2 linked regions of the Macaca fascicularis genome follow. The protein of the gene in region 1 purifies or fractionates together with the protein of each later gene. This does not show direct contact. Links are inferred from orthologs where the notes say so. Each region holds a gene or a part of one and is shown in the gene's direction. Other genes may lie near its edges.

Evidence for each region.
Region 2: the proteins of TEFM (region 1) and KBTBD7 purify together in Homo sapiens (co-immunoprecipitation; 5 studies listed by BioGRID and IntAct, counting the BioPlex papers as one, with this or other methods). This does not show direct contact. The link is inferred for Macaca fascicularis from reciprocal best matches to the Homo sapiens genes TEFM and KBTBD7.

The regions. Positions count from the first base shown.
Region 1 is NC_088390.1:38,407,321-38,411,617, reverse strand, and holds the start of TEFM (transcription elongation factor, mitochondrial), read left to right. Parts: upstream 1-1,306; 5' UTR 1,307-1,348; coding exon 1,349-1,379; intron 1,380-2,905; coding exon 2,906-3,369; intron 3,370-4,297. UniProt on the Homo sapiens protein: Transcription elongation factor which increases mitochondrial RNA polymerase processivity. Regulates transcription of the mitochondrial genome, including genes important for the oxidative phosphorylation machinery.
Region 2 is NC_088391.1:20,547,874-20,552,155, reverse strand, and holds the start of KBTBD7 (kelch repeat and BTB domain-containing protein 7), read left to right. Parts: upstream 1-1,354; 5' UTR 1,355-1,666; coding exon 1,667-3,724; 3' UTR 3,725-4,282. UniProt on the Homo sapiens protein: As part of the CUL3(KBTBD6/7) E3 ubiquitin ligase complex functions as a substrate adapter for the RAC1 guanine exchange factor (GEF) TIAM1, mediating its 'Lys-48' ubiquitination and proteasomal degradation.

The DNA.
Region 1 (4,297 bases):
TGCCCTCCAGACACAAAACAATCAATCCATTGCTGCCTCATAAAAACACAAACTCATCACCTTTCCCTCCCTCCTGAATTCCCCGTTTTTCACAAAACTGGCTCCCCATCTTCCAGAAATAATCCGTTTCTTTCTACTCTCCTTACATCTCCCAGGTTCAATTCCCTACGGTTGGCCGGGCGCAGTGGCTCACGCCTGTAATCCCAGCACTTTGGGAGGCCGACGTGGGCGGATCACCTGAGGTCAGGAGGTCAAGACCAAACTGGCCAACATGGTGAAACCCGTCTCTAGCAAAAATACAAAAATTAGCCGGGCGTGGTGGCGCGCGCCTGTAATCCCAGCTACTCGGGAGGCTGAGGCACGAGAATCGCTTGAAATCGGGAGGCGGAGGTTGCAGCGAGATCGCACCACTGCACTCCAGCCTGGGCGACAGAGCAAGACTGTCCAAAAAAAAAAAAGAAAAAAGAAAAAAATCCTTACGGTTGCCTCTCCCCTGGGAAGAGGAGAGGCAACTTCTCTTTGCTGCCAGGCTCTTCACCTCCAATCCAGCCTCACATTCGGTATACAGTATACGGCCAATTTTCTAGAAACACATCTCCAGTCTGACTCTGCAAATCATAAACCTCGGGGACTTCAGGCATTTTCCTCCCTGGTGGAGTATTCAACTGCTCCACCCAGCATTCAAGGACAAACTCAATTCGGCGCCACATTCATCTCCCTTTATCCCTTCTAAGTGGAATACCGCTCCAGCGCCAACGCAATCTCCTCCTCCCTCGCCCTTCCCTAATCCCTTGCCTGCCCTGTTTCCCTGTTGAGCTCCTGAAACACTTCGCATCTCTCCCCGTTATTCCAGTCTATCTGGTGAAAAGGTTATTTGAGGACCTTGTCTACGCTGCCCCCACCAGATCCCGCTCCCGGCGCCACAGGCTGGGCCCCAACAGGAGCTCCTCAATCTAAGTGTCTACGAGAAACCCAGGGAGTCTCCACGAAGGAGGGACTTTGCCCACTAGAGACTAACACTGGCCTCCGAATTGCCTTCCTGGAGATTCGGCCTAGCGGCTCTCAGGAGTCGGGAGGGGCAAGAACGTCTCCCCGGTGCAGTGGAAGAAGACTGCCGGCCAGCCCGGGACTCGGAATCCGGGGCCAGGGCCTCGGCAGGCGCCCGCTCGGAAGCCGGCAGCGCAGACGCGGACAACCCACTGCTCAGCGGGACACATCTCCGGCCTTGCGCCGGAACGCCGCTTGGACAACAACCTTTCCGCCGAGTGCAGGCCGAGCGCTTTTGGGCGCAGCACGCAGGAACCGGAAGTCAATGGAGGAAGACCGGACCTACTGACTCAATTTGGAGATGAGCGGCCCTACCCTCTTCATGGCGGGAGGTAGGGTGCTTGGCACACTGGGGTAGTTTCCTGTCTGTCACTAGCCTCTGACCCTAGAGGCTAATGGAATAGGGCTGGAGGTATTCTGGAGGAACCTGGAGTGTTTCCTTCCTCATGTCCCTCATGTCCCTTGTTCAGGCCCCTCTCTTGGAGCCCCAGCCTAGTTGACGGGGCGGTTTTCGGAACATTTGTGCTTCCCTGGCCTCAGGTTCCACAGGTGGCTCCTCAGAGTGGGCGGATGGTTCAGATTCTCACAGCCGCTTGCTTACCTCTGGCCGCATTACTTTCCTGTGGCTGCGATGTTAGAGTGACTTCCCACTGGTTTTACAAAGTTATGCATTGTATGGTGTTTCTCATACTTGCAAAAACGTCATGGTAGAAATCTTGAAAAGTGTACGGAAGAAAATAAAACTGCCCTTAAATCTACCACTTAGCTGAAACATTTCTTTCTTTTTTTTTTTTTTTGAGACGGAGTCTCACGCTGTTGCCCAGGCTGGAGTGCAGTGGCGCGATCTCGGCTCACTGCAAGCTCCGCCTCCTGGGTTCACGCCATTCTCCTGCCTCAGCCTCCTGAGTAGCTAGGACTACAGGCGCCCGCCACCGCGCCCGGCTAATTTTTTGTATTTTTAGTAGAGACGGGGTTTCACTGTGGTCTCGATATCCTGACCTTGTGATCCGCCCGCCTCGGCCTCCCAAAGTGCTGGGATTACAGGCTTGAGCCACCGCGCCCGGCGAAACATTTCTTATAAACGTATAAAATTTAATTTTATTCAGTTCCACCAGATGAGATACTAAAATGTGAAAATGGAAGTGAAGAGAAACCTTTTTTTTTTTTTTTTTTTGAAACAAGTTACACTCATGTTGCCCAAACTGGAATGCAATGGTGTGATCTGGGCTCACCGCAACCTCCGCCTTCCGGGTTAAAGCGATTCTCCTGCCTCAGCCTCCTGAAGGTAGCTGGGATTACAGGCATACGCCACCACGCCCGGCTAATTTTGTATGTTTAGTAGAGTCAGGGTTTCTCCATGTTGGTCAGGCTGGTCTCGAACTCCCAACCTCAGGTGATCCTCCCACCTCGGCTCCAAAAGTGCCAGGATTATAGGCGTGAGCCACTACGCCCGGCCTAAGACAAACCTTAACAGGAAATATTAGTTACAAAAAGATTCCTCTAAATTAAAAATATCAAAAACGTTAAGCAGTTGGAATAATTATTTCAACTACCTTCTTCCTAATGGGTGTAAAATACAGTTTTCTAGGTAGTAAAACTTTGGACTGATCCATAAAAATCGGAAGACATCTCTCGTGACTTGAAAACAACAAAAGCTGTATTTAAAACTCTATGTAATATAGTTTAAAAACTAATCCTCTTTTAAAGATGATTCTCCAGGACAATTTAATATTGTCCTCTACTAGTTCTTAAATTCCGGGAAAGTATTTGTGACTTTGCAAAGGATCTAGTCAAGCTTGCAACTAACACTAAAGGAAGTAGGACATCCAACTTACATTTTGCTACATTTTCCTTTTAGAGAGGTGGAGATGCTTTCTGGCCCCGTCGAGGTCATCCCTGTTCCGGGTCTTACATAATTCCTGCTGTCGGAAAAAATCCACTACACCTAAGAAAATTACTCCCAATGTTACTTTTTGTGATGAAAATGCAAAGGAGCCTGAAAATGCACTTGACAAGCTCTTCTCTTCAGAACAGCAGGCTTCCATCTTGCATGTGTTGAATACAGCATCTACTAAAGAACTTGAAGCTTTCAGATTGCTTCGTGGAAGAAGGTCCATCAATATCGTAAAGCACAGAGAAAACTTTGGGCGATTTCAGAATTTAGAGAGTTTAATGAATGTGCCCTTGTTTAAGTATAAAAGTACAGTTCAAGTTTGTAACTCCATACTTTGTCCAAAGACTGGAGGGGAAAAAAGAAAGTTACTGGAAAACCGGTTCCTGAGAAAGCTCCTCAAACCAGACATAGAAAGAGAAAGACTTAAGGTATATTCTTCATGTCTGCTATACTGCCTAATATTTGAGAACCTACTCTGGAAAGCAGTCTTCGGGGCATTGGGTTGGGAAGTGGCTAAGACAAGGTTCTTCAGGTTTAGTTGGCAAGTATATGGTCACTACCAAATAATGAGATGTACAGATAGTAAATTGGCAGTTGAGAGGAGAGAAAACAATGGGCTGTGACTGTTGTGGAAAGTTTACTGGAAAAACTCAATTTAGATCTTAAAGGAGAGATCCTTTGGCTGGGAGAGGAGGGGATTCTAGGTAGAAAGAACAGTTAGTGTTGAGAAGCAGGTCTAGGCAAGGCTTATTTAAGAGGAGCGTCATTGGAGATACTAGGCTGTGTCTAAGGGTGATGTTGGGATTAATGAGAAATTAAGGAGTAAAGATGGGTTATGGCCTTTCTAAAAGCACTTCTTTTTCCATTATCTTAAAAAAATAAGTACTACAAATATTTGACACAGCTTTTTTTTTTTGAGACGGAGTCTTGCGCTGTCACCAGGCTGGAGTACAGTGGCACGATCTTGGCTCACGACAACCTCCACCTCCCAGGAACAAGCGATTCTCCTGCCTCAGCCTCCTGAGTAGCTGGGACTACAGGCACACGCCCCCACACCCAGCTAATTTTTGTATTTTTAGTAGAGACGGGGTTTCACCACGTTGGCCAGGATGGTCTCGATCTGTTGACCTCATGATTCACCCACCTCGGGCTCCCAAAGTGCTGGGATTACAGGTGTGAGCCACTGCGCCTGGACACAGCATTCAAATATTAAACTTTAGAGGAACTCATGTCCTGTGTAACATTGCTTGATAATCATTATCTCAAAAAATCATAAGCACCATTTTTTTCTAGACCAGTGGCTCCCAGGTTTTTGAGGAATATGGGTACTTTTGAAAACCTGATGAGGCCGGGCGC
Region 2 (4,282 bases), on another chromosome or scaffold:
TAAACAAAGCAAGGAAAGAATGAAACAACAAAATCAGAGATGTACTGAAAATGAAAGTACACTCCAGTGTGGGCGCAGGCCCAGCACAGGGCTCAAGGGCCCTGTTACAGAATTCCTGGAGGTTTAAATACCCTCTAGAGGATTCACTGGTTACTTGGTGTATACCCTATGTAAACGAAGAGAATGAATTAAAGTTACAAACTCATTTACTCGGCATACACCCTATGGAGAGGGTATTTCTTGTTATAGCTAAAGTGTGAATCGGCCTTATGTTCCCTGCCTCCAGACCCTATTTTCCTGCCTCAAATCTCTAATACTTGATTTTGATGATTTAACTGTTGATCAATGCAAATATAAAAGACTTTTGTAAAGCATAGGCTATACTGTATGTTAATTCAAGGAATGTCAGGGCATGTACTAATGCTGAATTCTGAGAATCACGTGCTTTTGTACAGAACAAAGTCTGTTTCTTGAAATATTTTGAGTTAAATACTCCCTAAAACTCCTTAATAAAGGCAATTACAGAATCTGTTAATTGATATGTGGAATGGCAGTGAAAGAGACTGTATTAGACGACTTGAAAACACTCATATTTGGAGCTTAATGAAAATATTCCTGCTCCCCAGAGATGAAATGTTAGTGAGAGTAGCAAATAATCTATTTTTATATGCCCGATTTGCATATTTGAGGCCATCTATTAACACCGTTCTTTAGGACCTCAACCTAGTCGTCTAAGACATCCTTATTAAACAAGGCCAATACGTACCATTTAACATTGAAAATAGTTAATGCCCTTCAAAATCTTTCAAAAGAATAAAAATTAAAAACTAAGTTCTTTGTAAAATTTTGCGGTTTAAAATAATTTTAAAAATTTTAAAAATTTTTTGGTTTCAAATTAGTGGGTGCCTCATTTATCATAAATTATAAAAGAGAATCTAACAATTATTGGCTACATTCTAGGCACGGGGTAACGCTTTATTGTTCTTCTAACCAAAAAAATACATGTATCTAAGTATCCTATGTAACGTATCATTCAATCACACAAAACCCTATGAAATACTGGCAGGGCCCGGTGGCTCACGCCTGTAATCCCAGCACTTTGAGAGGCAGAGGCAGGAGGATAATTTGAGCCCTCAGGAGTTCAAGACCAGCCTGGACAACAATAGTGAGACATCGTCACTTCACCATCATATCCAGAATTAATTTCTACTGTTAGGGCAGTCAGCGAAAGGAAAGCTCGCGATATTACACAAACTACTACTCCCAACATGCAAAGCGGTTTCTTTCCCTCTGTCCCCGCCCGGCCGTCCGAGAGCCCCAGCAGGCCTCGGGGCGCGAAAGGCAACCTGGAAGCGGTAGTTCTCCTGGGCGCCTAGCGGGATCGCCAGCGCGGCAGTGGGGCCTTCCGCGGCTCCAAGCCAGCGGGTCCTGTGAGGGCGAGCGGAGGCGGAGAAAGGGCGCGGGAGTGAGAGAGGGTGAGTCAGCCACTGTCTACGCAATAAAGGGAGACCTCACCGCGGGCTAAGGCTGAATTCAGAAGTGCGGCCCGTGCCGCAGTCTGTTCCAGGACGCGGCTTGTCTTAGCGTCAGCGAGGGAAGGTTGAGGAGGAGCCAGAGCCGGGTCCGGCAGCCTTTCTCGCTATCAGCGCCCGTCGCCATCTCCACCATGCAGTCCCGGGAAGACGCCCCGCGCTCTCGCCGCCTCGCCAGCCCCCGCGGTGGGAGGCGGCCCAAGAGGATTTCCAAGCCCTCGGTTTCGGCCTTTTTCACGGGTCCAGAGGAATTAAAGGACACGGCCCATTCTGCAGCCCTGCTGGCACAGCTCAAGTCTTTCTACGACGCGCGGCTGCTGTGTGATGTGACCATCGAGGTGGTGACGCCTGGCAGCGGGCCTGGCACGGGTCGCCTCTTTTCCTGCAATCGCAACGTGCTAGCAGCTGCGTGTCCCTACTTCAAGAGCATGTTCACAGGTGGCATGTACGAGAGCCAGCAGGCCAGCGTGACCATGCACGATGTGGACGCCGAGTCCTTCGAGGTGTTGGTCGACTACTGCTACACGGGTCGTGTCTCTCTCAGCGAGGCCAATGTGCAGCGCCTGTACGCAGCCTCCGACATGCTGCAACTGGAGTATGTGCGGGAAGCCTGTGCCTCCTTCTTAGCCCGACGTCTTGACCTGACCAACTGCACCGCCATCCTCAAGTTTGCAGACGCCTTCGACCATCACAAGCTTCGATCTCAGGCCCAGTCCTATATAGCTCAGAACTTCAAGCAGCTCAGCCGAATGGGTTCAATTCGGGAAGAGACTCTAGCAGATCTGACCCTGGCCCAGCTGCTGGCTGTCCTGCGCTTGGATAGTCTGGACATAGAGAGTGAGCGGACTGTATGCCATGTAGCTGTGCAGTGGCTGGAGGCTGCTCCCAAGGAGCGGGGTCCCAGTGCTGCGGAAGTCTTCAAGTGCGTGCGCTGGATGCACTTCACTGAAGAAGATCAGGACTACTTAGAAGGGCTGCTGACCAAGCCCATCGTGAAGAAGTACTGCCTGGACGTTATTGAAGGGGCCCTGCAGATGCGCTATGGTGACCTGTTGTACAAGTCTCTGGTGCCAGTGCCAAACAGCAGCAGCAGCAGCAGTAGCAGCAGCAACTCTCTTGTATCTGCAGCAGAAAATCCACCCCAGAGACTGGGTATGTGTGCCAAGGAGATGGTGATCTTCTTTGGACACCCGAGAGATCCCTTTCTCTGCTATGACCCTTACTCAGGGGACATTTACACAATGCCATCACCTTTGACCAGCTTTGCTCACACTAAGACTGTTACCTCCTCAGCTGTCTGTGTCTCCCCAGACCATGACATCTATCTAGCTGCCCAGCCAAGGAAAGACCTCTGGGTGTATAAACCAGCTCAGAATAGTTGGCAGCAACTTGCAGATCGCTTGCTGTGTCGTGAGGGCATGGATGTGGCATATCTCAATGGCTACATCTACATTTTGGGGGGGCGAGACCCTACTACTGGAGTTAAGTTGAAGGAAGTGGAATGCTACAGTGTTCAGAGAAACCAGTGGGCATTGGTGGCTCCTGTCCCTCATTCCTTCTATTCCTTTGAACTCATAGTGGTTCAGAACTATCTTTATGCTGTCAACAGTAAGCGCATGCTCTGCTATGATCCTAGCCACAATATGTGGCTGAACTGTGCTTCTCTTAAACGCAGTGACTTTCAGGAAGCATGTGTCTTCAATGATGAAATCTATTGTATCTGTGACATCCCAGTCATGAAGGTCTACAACCCAGCTAGGGGAGAATGGAGGCGGATTAGTAATATTCCTTTGGATTCAGAGACCCACAACTACCAGATTGTCAATCATGACCGAAAGTTGCTTCTCATCACTTCTACAACCCCACAATGGAAAAAGAACCGAGTAACAGTGTATGAGTATGATACTAGGGAAGATCAGTGGATTAATATAGGTACTATGTTAGGCCTTTTGCAGTTTGACTCTGGCTTTATTTGCCTTTGTGCCCGTGTTTATCCTTCCTGCCTTGAACCTGGTCAGAGTTTTATTACTGAGGAAGATGATGCACGGAGTGAGTCTAGTACTGAATGGGACTTAGATGGATTCAGTGAGCTGGACTCTGAGTCAGGAAGTTCAAGTTCTTTTTCAGATGATGAAGTCTGGGTGCAAGTAGCACCTCAGCGAAATGCACAGGATCAGCAGGGTTCTTTGTAAATAGATTTTGAGACACTAAGATGTTTCTACTGCTACGGAATGTATTTTAAACACATATCCTTTCTTTTTCTTGAAAAAAAAAAAGTTGACCAGGACCACAGATTTGGTTTAGAAAGGGTAATATTTTGAAATACTACAAGGTTTAAACAGTCCACAAAATCGACCTGTTTAATAATATACCTTCCTGAAAGTCCAAAATTAAAATATGGAAGCAAGAACTATGTAATTGACTGGGATGCTTGGTAGGTTTTTTTCATTGTTCAAATATTCATTGCACAGTGGATTGTTTTGATTAGTTAGTATGCTTTTTTTTTTTTTAATTAATTCAGTCTTCTGTTAATTTTTAAGTTTTGGTTAGTGCCACAAGGAATTTAACTTTTTAATCTGTACAATAGAAAACTGGACTAGGAATTGTTGGTGGAGTTTTGAAGGATGTATACTTTCCTTCAAAATAAAGTGGTAGATTTTCAAAATTTTACACTAGTCAGTTCTTTATATTCTAAGTTAAATATAGTTTGTAAAATTATTTTGGTTTTCTACAAAGGAAAAAAAATTGCA